Ovis aries: one gene and its partners. The protein of the gene in region 1 interacts with the protein of each later gene in a biochemical or structural test. Links are inferred from orthologs where the notes say so. Each region holds a gene or a part of one and is shown on either strand. Other genes may lie near its edges.

Region 1 (3,513 bases):
CAGATCATAGCCTCCTGTCAAGGCTGATAAGGAATTCTAACAACGACGGGTCCCTCTGTAGTGAGGCCTTACCCGTGATATTCTTCTGTAGGTCTCCTGGTATGTGTCTGCCTCAAAAGGAGGCTTCCCGACGAGGAACTCATAGCAAAGCACCCCAAGGCTCCAGAGGTCCACTTTCTCGTCGTGCATCCGGCCCTCAATCATCTCAGGGGGCAGGTAGTCCAGCGTGCCGCAGAGGGTGGTCCTCCTGAAAATACAGGCAGGCTCGGGTTGACGTGCTACTGTTTCTATTATCATGACAGCTGCTCAAAGGCACCAACCATTCCACTAACCCTGAGCGCTTTTCCTAGGCTAGCTCCTGTGCTACAAAGCAGGTGCTATTATAAACCCATTTTTAGATGGGGTGCTGTACCAGACCTCACAGTTAGCAATCATGTGGCACCCCAAATATGTCTAATTCCAGAACTTCCTTAAATGATATATAAGATTTAAAGTATCACCACTATAAAACTGTGTGAACAACTAGGGAAATTTGAACATGGACTAAATAGTAGATATTAACAAGACTAGGTTTCTTAGGTGTGATAATGGCTGTGATTATACAGGACAATGTCCTTAGCCTACTTACTGAAGCACTCAAAGGATGAAGCATGCTGTCTGTCACTTATTTTTTGAAGGTTAACCAAAACGTAGACACACTCAATGTGGTAAAATGTTAACAACTATTGGGAGTATAGGCACTGGATAGGCAGGTGATCAATTCAGCGTGTCTGTTTTTATAACAGAGGTTGGAAACAGACATCAAAACAGGAGCAAAGGCTAGGCAGATTTTGCTGCCTTGTACCAGTTACTCTTTGGTGCCACTGGTGCCTGGCAAGTGCACAAATGTTCGCTCACCTAAAGGAGCTGCCACCGCAGACTCCTAGCCTCTCACCACTGGATTCGGGAGAAGGCCCAGATCAAGAGCCTTGGAAGACAGCACAGTAACCTGAGAGCTCTTACAGCGAACCAGCTATGGGAAGCCGGGCCAAGTGACCAACATTTTATATGATATCCTCTTTAGAAAAGGATCAGCTAGCTTTCCTGTCGTGAGGACACCACTGGGCGGGCCAAGGTCCAGCTTAGCCCTGTGATCATACAGCCATTGCTGTTTGCCTCACCAGAGGCCAACAGCTCCCACTTGTGACAACCAGATTTTTTTCTCCCCTAAACAAAAAGAGACTGCAACAGCAGATTCAGTGCCTTGCTGGAAACAATTAGGAGTGATCTATATCAAAAACAAATCTCACACTCAACAGCATCCATTTGGGACTATACAGTTTTTTAAACTGGCTTTAAAGTAATCTGGTTACAATTTTTTAAAGACCTACCCCAAAGCTGACAAACTCTTAGCAGTAGATGTATGCTTTTAATTGCCCTACTTCACACATGGTTTCAAAAGCTCATTGAAACCCAACCTAAAAACAGGAGAAAATGTTTTAGCTCTGTTTGCAAAGTTCACTTAAATTGTTTCATAGGTTGGTCTCTCTGCTTTAAGAGGAGATAGGAAAGGACTGCTCTGTTGACAGAAGCAGACCAAAGAATCTTTACCCACCAGTCTGAAAGCTCCATCCAAACTAGTTTGGTTCCTTTAAGCTCCCAGTTCTAGAGCTCTGCAGGTGCTGCCCTCAGAACTCATAGAACTCGTGTCTCCTGGCCCTGGAGGCAGTGGAGTTTGCCTCCCCGTCAGTCAGGTGTTGTTCCCCCTCTACACACCGCATTTCATTCTGTGATACACTTGTCATATCTTTTACCTATTTGTCCCCTTCACTGGCCTCTAAGGATAGTATGCATCTTTAACCCCAGGTTGCTGCTGCTGTTAAGTTGCTTCAGTCGTGTCCGACTCTGTGCAACCCTATAGATGGCAGCCCACCAGCATTCTCCATCCCTGGGATTCTCCAGGCAAGAATACTGGAGTGGCTTGCCATTTCCTTCTCCAATGCATGAAAGTGAAAAGTCAAAGCGAAGTCGCTCAGTCAGGTCTGACTCTTAGCGACCTCATGGACTGCAGCCTACCAGGCTCCTCTGTCCATGGGATTTTCCAGGCAAGAGTACTGGAGTGGGGTGCCATTGCCTTCTCCGTAACCCCAGGATAAACATCCACAAATGGCTGCATAGTAAAAATGTTCTTGAAGACACTAGTTTCCTGCCAGGCCTAAATTACTCCAAAGCATGTATGTCAGTTACCTGACCCAACCGCCCACAACATCTATGCTTACATTTACTTACAGTAAATATTTTACTATTTAGCTCATTAGCCCCTAGGCTTTTACTAAACCAAACAAACAAGTTCCATCTCTGAAGTTATATACCTGGAGGATGGGGCATGTACCGACCACCCAAAATCGGCGATCTTAAGCTCTCCAGCTGATCCAAGGAGCAGGTTCTCTGGCTTAATGTCTCTGTGAATAACTCTCTTTGAATGACAGTAAGACAAGGCATTTGCCAATTCTGTGATATACTATTAAAACAAAAAGTATTGGAAATCCGTTTTAGATTTATATAACACAATTTTAGACATCTCTTCAGAAAGGAAACTCAACATAGATTTTAACATGTTCTGTAGATTTGAAAGCAAAAACTAGAGACAGTGGATGACTCTAGAAGAAAACAAACCAATTTAGTGTTCAGTGTGAAGTACAAGTGACTCTGTGCTAGGTTATCTGCTCACACAGCAGGTGCGACGCCGAAAGACAGCAGAACACCAAGGTACCACTACATCCCCACCTGGCAATTTATGGCCCAGAAGCCATGAATTATGACAATATTGAAAAACTGGTACAAATGAGGGAGTCGGGCCTGTAAACAATTTTTAAAATTCTTAAAAAAGAAAAACTTTATAGTCCATCCCCATTTTTAAAACTAAGGCAAAATTACAACAAAAGGGTTTGTTTGAAGCTATAAACTTAAGCAAGCCCAGGATTGGCTTTAACATGTAAATGAGAATTGTTTTCTAATATATTGAATATATTTAGTTCTGACTGACGTTTGAGAAGCGTTGGTTTCTCAAAAAGTAATTCTAAATAGGACTGAACATTATGTTATGCCAAAAAGGTTTACCAAATGAAGGGGTACAAACCAGATGTTATTGTCAGAAAGGACATTTTTCATTGCTTTCAGCCAAAAGGCAGAGACCAAAATTTAGACCATAAACTTAAATAAACCATAAATAAACTGAAAGCAAAGGTAAAGAAAGCTCGTCTCTTGCACCAAAGTGGGTGATGCTCGAAGAGGATACGGTAGGATTCCAGATGACAATGGGCTGCCCCTGCTCAAACCCGGCAGGAACCAGCGCTCTCTGCATCCACCCCCTCCACATACCCACATTAAGATTATGGATTATGTGTAAAGGTCCCTAACACTTCTCCAGAACTAGTTTTAATTAATCAGGAAAGAAAAACAGGTGTGTGTGTGTGTGTGTGTGTGTGCGCACGCACACGCGCACGTATAAACTACTAGGGAATCTAGAAAGAA
Region 2 (4,224 bases), on another chromosome or scaffold:
TGAGATGGCTGGATGGCATCACTGACTCGATGGACGTGAGTTTGAGGGAACTCCGGGAGTTGGTGATGGACAGGGAGGCCTGGCGTGCTGCAATTCATGGGGTCGCAAAGAGTCAGACATGACCGAGCAACTGAACTGAACTGAACTGAACTGAAATGGGCACAACATTTTGAAAATGCAAACCAGTTGCCAGGATGTTAGGAATCTGAATTAAAATTCAGCATTTCTTTGGTCAGATTATAGTAGGGGGTGGCCCTATTTTGTGTTTGTCATAAAGAGATTGTTATTAAACAGCTCTTCTTATTTAAAACAGTCAACGTTTGTCTAATATTTTATTCACTCAACAAATGTGAAAGTCTGCTCTGTGCCAGGCAAGGCTTATGTTCTCATAGCCACAGGTCCTCCTACCTCACACAGCACTTAACGTGAGTTCTGCTTTATATAATATGGGCTTATCTGGTGGCTCAGATGGTAAAGAATCTGCCTGCAACTCGGTTCGATCCCTGGGTGGAGAAGATTCCCCTGGAGGAGGGGATGGCTACTCACTTGCCTGAAGCGTTCCATGGACAGAGGGACCTGGTGAGCTACAGTCCATGGCATTACAAAAAGCTGGACATCACTGAGCGACTAACACTTTCACTTTATCTGTTTTACCAAAGTGTAAGGCCCTTGATGCCTGGAATTATGTCTTATACGTTTTTGTGATCCCAATATCAATGAGCACAATGCCTTGTACACAGTAGGGACTCAATATTTGTGAATTGAACTATGCGATAGCATAGTTGTTGTTAAAAGGAGTTACCAAAAAAGCACAACATAACTTGTTTTGACTGCACTCTCTAAAGTAGATATAATTGTTGTGCAAGTAAATAAATATTGAGTGTTTATAGAGAAAAGCATGTTCACTACAGGAGTGAAGGAGAGAGAGTGCATAAATGGGTGGAGACTGATCTGGAAGAAGCGTTGTTATTTTTCCTCAGGTCAGTCCAGAATGATCGTGTAGGGTAACTAGAATTTCAGTCTTCTGGTTCTCAGAGAATTTTCATCCCTCTCACCTTTCTAGAACTACCCCGCCTCTTTCTGCTTCTTCCCAAAGGGCTGTGTCCAACTGACTACACCTCAAAGTCTCAAGAGTCCACCCAGTACCCACCTAGCTCCGGCTCAAGAACTCTCCAGACCAGGGACTTTAGGAACACCCGCCAGGAAAACACGGGTTCAGGAGCGGGGCAAGCACCAAACTGGTCACAGCGCGGGGAGCGGCGCTCAGGGCGGGGCTGTTACGGGGCGGGGCCGGGCCGGGCCGGGCCGGGCGGGGCGGGCGGGAGGAGGCTCGGGGGGCCGCTTGGGTGTCACCACCAACCAGCTCCGGCCGGAAACTGGCGCTTGTTTCCGGCCGGACGGCCGAAAACCACCGATCCTGAACCAGCAGCCCAGAGTCCGAGTGGCGACCGAGTGCGGAGCAGGCAAAAAGCCACTGGGGAAGCCAGTCCAGATCAGTCCTATCTGGCTCCAGCTCCTGATCCTGTGCGGAGCAGCAGCCGCGGTCTCAGTCTCAGCCAACGCCTCCGCCTCCATCGTCGACGGGGGAGGGGCCGGCCGGACCCCTGGGTCACAGCCGAGGAATGAGGAGAGGCAGCCGGGCCCCGCGCTCCGCCCCGGCCTAGGGCCTTGCCCCAGGAGCCGCGAGGGTAACGGAGCCCCCGCATTGTCACCCTCCCCCGTCTGTTCCCGCCCCTCCCGCCTCTTCAGACTCCCAAACTCTGACCCTCTGGTCGCCACTGTCCCTCTTCTCCTTTCTGATTGTGTTTCACGCGGAGCCGTCTCCTTTCGGCACCCCCTCCTCGCCCTGACTGCTCCTTGCTTGGTTCCAACCTTTCTCCCGTTACTCCTCCCTTTCACCTGCGTCCCACCTTCCCAGCCCCCCTTCCCCGTTCGTGGCCTCCCTTCCTCAACTGTGCTGGGCAGTTTGGACGGTTCTCCTTGTCAGCTAGACTTTCGGGGAGGGATGGTGGAATTTTAAGGTGGCTAGGAGTGCCGGCTACTACTCTCATAGTACGATAAAGTTCATTTTAAAGTCTCGAAAGTAAAATGAGCAGAAACCAAACTGTTCTGCCATATCGGTAGTTAAACTGAGGTGCGTCCAGTAATGGAGGAAGGGAGCGAAAAAGAAGTGTGTATACGAGAAAGAGAGTGATAGAGAGATAGATTGATTTTATGGCAGGCTTATGAACTTTGGAAAAAAAAAAAAGTTGCCATGAGCCGATGGAAACTTTAGAAGCTGATGATGAGTAAGCCGGGAGCTGCGTGATCTCACTCCTCTTCTCATAATTACTAGGTTAACGGTGTGGCTCCGGTCGGGATGGAATGGGATTTGTTTACTGGGCCGGCGTATTTTTAGCTTGTCAGCTCACAAGGACCAGCGCTCTGAGTCTCCCCCCTCTCTGTCTCTCTTCCTCTCTCTTTTTCTCACCCTTCTCTCTCTCTGTGTTTAGGTAGTCTCTGGAACCTAGGTGGCTTCTCTGGGCACAATAAATATAAAAATTAAACTAAAATAGATTTTATATAAGAGATTCTCCCCAACTCTTCAGGGAGTTTTCATGAATGCAAAGGCAAAAATTAGTTGACTTGTAGTTCATATATGTATAAATCCTTTTATAAAATCAGAAACGGGTAATTGTTTAGTCTTTGACTTATCGTACTGTATATTTAGATGTTAGAGGACGCTGGAACCCTTTGTCTTTCAACCTATTTCTAAAGTGAGAAAGGACAGAGGGAAGAAGTAGCAGGAAGGTGGGTCCATAAGGGTAGCTAGTCTTAAATCTTTTAAAAACATTTTTTATACTACTTAACTTTAAAAGAGAGAAGATTTCCTTCCTAATCAACGAGGTTGTATTCTTGACGGAGAAGACAGTAGGGACTTATGCTGGGTGGCTAGGGAGAATCAGACTTGTAATTAAACATTTGCTGTGCATAATTTACAAATGAATACATTATGGGCAAACAATTATACTCTTTGTCCTCATTGTTTTTCCCAGCCTTTCTTTTAAAGGTTAATAACCAACCTGCTGTGCTAGTCTATTGATATTTTGAAGGCTGGACAGAACTGTAAAGTAAATTGATGTTGTTCACGGGGAAGCCGAGTACCAGTCTGTTCTAATTTCCACTAGCTACCCGGCATGCCTCGGAGCACCTCCCTAAGTTGGTGGCCAGTTACTATGTACTTGGAGATTACAAATGAATACACGTATTAGGTCATGCTAGGAGTAATTGAGAAGTTAAACGTACTGAAAAGATTTTCCAAAACTGAAATAGATTCTTTTTCGATTTTTTCCATTTTGGATTATCAGCACCTTTCTACCGATAATCATCCATTAACATGAATGAATAGAATTGAACAGATACCCGCTTTGGACAGCATGCACTGAAGCAGGAAGGAAAGAAGGAAAATAGTTTCCAAACTACTGTCATTTTTGTTGTTGTTGTTGCCTACTTTGGCTTATCCCTTTCCTTTAATGTCAAAGACTTCCTTGTGAAAAAAAAGTAAACCTTTACCAAAGAAAGGTCTGTATACTGACTTGTATAAGGCAGGCTGACCAGTAATGGATGTTAATTATTGGTTGGACTTTGATGTAGTTATGTTGCCAGAAACTTGGAAATTTTCCTGACACTTTTTCCCCTTAATCTTTTTCTTTGGGGCTCCTATTGAAAATGTTTTAGTTTGGAGGGAATATCTAATTTTTCAAAATTACACACACTGTTCCAGAGTCTGTTGACTATCAATAATTGTTTTAATTTGTGAGTTAGTTGGTGTCATTATTAGTGATGATATCTAGCACATTCAGCTTATATCTGTATTTAGCAACTTGCCCCAGTTGAACTACTTGTATTATTCCCAGGGTTGGGGTTAGGGGTAGGGATTGAAATGGTGAATAAAATCCTATAATAAGTGTAGGGCAACCCAATAGCCCATCACTATTTTCAGTTCTCAGAAGGCTTTGTTTGGAATTTTGAGTTTCAGTATATGTTACTAAGTGAATTATGATGGAATAACTCAGTATTAAAAATAAGTTTTCAGGTTGTTATGGGGCCACTTGTTAAAGTTTTAGAGCTCCTGAATGTCTCAAGCATGCTAAGTATGCTGGAAGAGGACATTGTAAGGGAGCACTTTTTCTCCTTACCCCAGACACTCATCCCATCAGGGAAAAAAATCCTGAAACAATGCTT
Region 3 (3,960 bases), on another chromosome or scaffold:
CAGGAAGGCCTGGCGTGCTGCAGTCCACGGGGTCACAAAGAGTCAGACGCGACTGAACTGAACTGAGTTGCTCAGTCAGTAAGGAATCTGCCTTCAATGCTGGCAGACCAGGGTTCAATCACTGGGTGGGGAATGTCCCCTGGAGAAGGAAATGGCAACCCACTCCAATATTCTTGCCTGCAGAATCCCATGGACAGAGGAGCCTGGTGAGCTACAGTCCACAGAGTCGGCTATAGTCCATGGAGTCTCAGGAGAGTCCAACACGACTTGGCGACTTAACTATCACCAGAAATGTATGTGTAGAACTGTTGGCTTCTTCTCTTGATATTTGCCTTTTAGCAGGTCATCGCGTTACAGATTAATGACTTCCAGTTGGAGATTAAGTGGCAAGTCCTGAATAACAGGGTTAAATGGATTATGAAATAATGGAAATGTCCTCTGTATTTGCATCAAAGTCTGAAAAAGTATGCTGGAACTGCAGTTTGAGGTTGGCGATTTGTGCTGAAATGGAAATCTGGATTCTTACTTTAACCTTTGACAGCATGGAAAACATACAAGCAATTTGGCTTTACTTGTGACTCAGACAGTGTTAACTGTTATGGAAACAATTTCGCTCTATTATTATCATTTTTTTTTTCCCTCCCCCCAATTTCGCTCTATTATAAATTTTGCTGTCTTGCTTTGTAAGTTTAAGTTGAAATCATTAAGAAACATCATCGTCTATATTATTTCTGTAAAATGGCTGAGCTCGGCCCGTATTGAGGACAGAGTTGGGTGAAGAAACGGCAGTGAAGAGGCACTAAGGCCTCACCTATCTCCCAGGTCCCTCAGGGCACTCGCAATGCACGCTGGGACTTGTAGTTCTTGCGTGTGAGACCTTGCGCGCGCAACTCCCACCTCGGGAGATCTCCTCTCCAGGCCGCGCGCCGCTGTTCCCGGAAGCTGTACAGGTTAAAGTTTCAACGCTTCCTCTCCCCTATTCTTAGTCCCGCAGAGTGCCAATCCACAGAGCCAATCGATGGGCTGACTGGTGCTTCCTTTTACTTGATTGGCTTAGAGTTTTGCAGCCGCCCAGACAAACTTGACGGGGATTGGTCGAACCTTCAGTTTTGAAAATCGTAGGTTTGGCCCGCGCTGTACCGCCCCGTTGGTTCACTGCAGCCGCAAGCCTTGGAGGCCGGGAGCCGTGGGGCTTGGGCAGGCTGGGATTTGTGTTGGGGGGGTCGCCGGACTTGGATCGGAGCAGCAGTTAAGGAGACGCGGTGCAGTCGAGTGAGTCTGCGCGGGCGGCTGGCGGGGCTGGGGTGTCGTTAGCAATTTGTTATCCCTCCGCCAGCCCTGGACCGGGGGTCATGACCTCCCTTATCCCCCGTTGCGGCCTGCAGGGGATGGGTCACCTCTTCCAAGTGACGAGGTGCCCTGCCTTGGTCCTGGGGCCCAAGATGACCCCACCCTTCCCCCTCCAGGCGCCTTTTATTGACCTGGACGCTCAGGAAGCACCCACCGACTGGGTGTTTGGCGGCATTGTACCAGATGGCATTTCTGTACAGTTAACCCTGGCTCACCACCTCCCTTATCGGCTGAGCAGCATTTTAAATTGACCCGTTTCCGGAGGCCAGTGCTGACTTGTCACTCCCCCGGCCCGTTTACTGACAGTGGCCTTCCCTGGGGCGCCCAGTCAGAACTTAGCGCCAACCTTTCCGAAGTTGAAATGGAGTAGGCGGCAAAGCTGAGGTTAAGAGCACGGTTTAAATCCGGGCCCCTCCCTTGACTTACCCGAAGACTTGGGTAAGACTTCAGTCTGCCTCAATTTGCTCATCTGCACCAGAATCTCCTTGAGGTTGTGGCGAGAATGAAATGAGATGATGCTCCACCCGAGCATGGAGCAGGTCTCTTTACAGAAAGTAGCTATTACGAGCTTCTTCACTGAGGTGTGGTCAGGGTTATCTGGTGGTCTTCCCACACCCTCAAAAGAACAGTCATTGTGAAGGAGGGCCGTGGGGCTCTTAATGTATGACGTGAGAAAAGTATTGGGAGAGGAAGATGAGCCTCCTTCACCCTTGGTGGGACGTAAGGTGCTTTGGGTTTGTATCCAGGTTCTTATAGGGGACTGAAAAGATTTTTATCGCCTTTCCCCAGACCCTCATTCTTAACACTGATCTCCTTTCTCAGGGTCATCTCTGATCTAATGACAGTGACCCTTTTTAAATAGGCTGAGGCTGCTGAAAACAAACCTCCTTATGGAAGAAGCTCAAACACTTCTTTGCACTTTGTGTAAGAAGCCCTGACCCACTTTGCCATTTACTTTTTTAAATAAAAGAGCAAATTGTTGCTCTCCATAGCACAAATTGTTTTGTGTTCCTTAAACAGGTCTCTCCTAGCCTCAAACTGGATTCCTGTCGTTAGCCAGGACTGAACGCTGGGACAGAGGGACTGGGGGGAGTCAGAGGGATGGCAGCCAGGAGGCTGTGCTGTGACTGGAATCTGCACACCTGTCTCTGCCCAAAGCCTCCGCGGTCCTGCCCAGTTGGTCCTGCCCTGACGGGTGCTGCTCTTAGCTCCTCGGAGTAGGGCTTTGGATGAGAAAGGCGTGCTCTGACCTGTGTAGAATGGCCTCATTTGGTGTCCCTGTGTGTGTGTGTCTTTGGGGAGGGAGTTAGAGTGTCTGTAGAATGTTTATTTCTAGGTGTACATTTGATAGATGGATCTGTTCATTCAACAGGTGTTCCTTTTGTGCCAGGCATGCTGCCAAGCTCTGGGCTTCAAAGCTACGAGCAAGACAGATCAGGGCTTGCCCTCAGGGAACAAATGCTTAGTGGGCAGAGACAGGTAGTCAGGAAGCAGATACATCGTTACCTGAGTGTTGTGCAGAGTATTGAAATTGATGGATAGGATGGTGGCTGGTAGTCAGGTCCTCCCTGCATTGCTGAGAGCCAAGTGCTGAGGAGTGAGCTGTACCAAATAGGAGACAGAAGGTTCCAGGCAGAGGGCAGAGCTTGCTCGAGGAACAGAGGCCAGTGTGCCCTGGAAATCAGGCTCCAGGAAGGCAATCCTGTGAGGCTGCAACAGCACCTGGCGTTAAGCCCTTTATAGGGGTCAGTGACTTAGCCCCTCCTTCCAGAACTTCCTGTCTCAGGTAGAGGCTGAGCTGTGGATGGTTCCTGGTTTTGAAGGTGTTGATCGGGTGGTGGTCACTGCCATGGCGTGAGACACGCAGTCTGTTATTATGGCTTGTGACTGTCACCTATTAATTCATTCTTTCATTCATTGCCCCAGTCAGGATGTTTATTGAGCCCCTGCTATGAACCACAATAGAACACTTCTTCCTTGCTTGGGGCTTTGGTGATAATTTTATAACTGAATTTTGAGGAGAATATCTGAGTTTCTAGTTGTTTGTTTTTGTTTGAGTGGCTAGTTTCTTAAGAAATTAAGACATAGAAAGCAAGCTTATGGTTACCAAAGGGGAAAGGGGGGAAGAGATAAATTAGGAGCTTGGGGTTAAAATATACACACTATGATATACAAAATAGATAACCAACAAGAACCTACTGTATAGCCCAGGGAACTCTACTCAGTAACTTTTAATAACCTGTAATAAAAAAGAATAGATATATATGTATCTGTAAACTGAATCACTTTGCCACGCATCTGAAACTAAAAGCAGCTATACGTCAATAAAAACTATTTTTAAAAAATTAAGGGAAAACTAATTTTGTATTTTATACTGCCTGATATTTCTAGACTAAGTTTTCTAAAAAAGAAGACATTGCTTATCCGTTTCCCTCATGCTCCCTCATCCATCCGAAGGCGTTTCTGTTCAAGGGAGAGAGTTATAGGGGCCCCCTAGAGAAGAGCCTGTCTCTGGACCACCACTTTCTTACCCACTCCTTTGGAATGCAGATCTGTCATTTACTAGCGTCCATAAGGAGCAGTTGGATTTGATGTTCTTTGACCTGACAC

What was found.
Region 2: of the proteins of AURKA (region 1) and OTUD7B, one has a biochemical effect on the other in vitro, tested with the Homo sapiens proteins (2 studies listed by BioGRID, with this or other methods). The link is inferred for Ovis aries from reciprocal best matches to the Homo sapiens genes AURKA and OTUD7B.
Region 3: the proteins of AURKA (region 1) and INCENP form a complex in vitro, tested with the Homo sapiens proteins (3 studies listed by BioGRID and IntAct, with this or other methods). The link is inferred for Ovis aries from reciprocal best matches to the Homo sapiens genes AURKA and INCENP.

Annotation. Positions count from the first base shown.
Region 1 is NC_056066.1:59,223,886-59,227,398, reverse strand, and holds part of AURKA (aurora kinase A), read right to left. Parts: intron 2,501-3,513; coding exon 2,352-2,500; intron 248-2,351; coding exon 73-247; intron 1-72. UniProt on the Homo sapiens protein: Mitotic serine/threonine kinase that contributes to the regulation of cell cycle progression.
Region 2 is NC_056054.1:100,104,077-100,108,300, reverse strand, and holds the start of OTUD7B (OTU domain-containing protein 7B), read left to right. Parts: upstream 1-1,413; 5' UTR 1,414-1,688; intron 1,689-4,224. UniProt on the Homo sapiens protein: Negative regulator of the non-canonical NF-kappa-B pathway that acts by mediating deubiquitination of TRAF3, an inhibitor of the NF-kappa-B pathway, thereby acting as a negative regulator of B-cell responses.
Region 3 is NC_056074.1:37,157,013-37,160,972, forward strand, and holds the start of INCENP (inner centromere protein), read left to right. Parts: upstream 1-1,149; 5' UTR 1,150-1,272; intron 1,273-3,960. UniProt on the Homo sapiens protein: Component of the chromosomal passenger complex (CPC), a complex that acts as a key regulator of mitosis.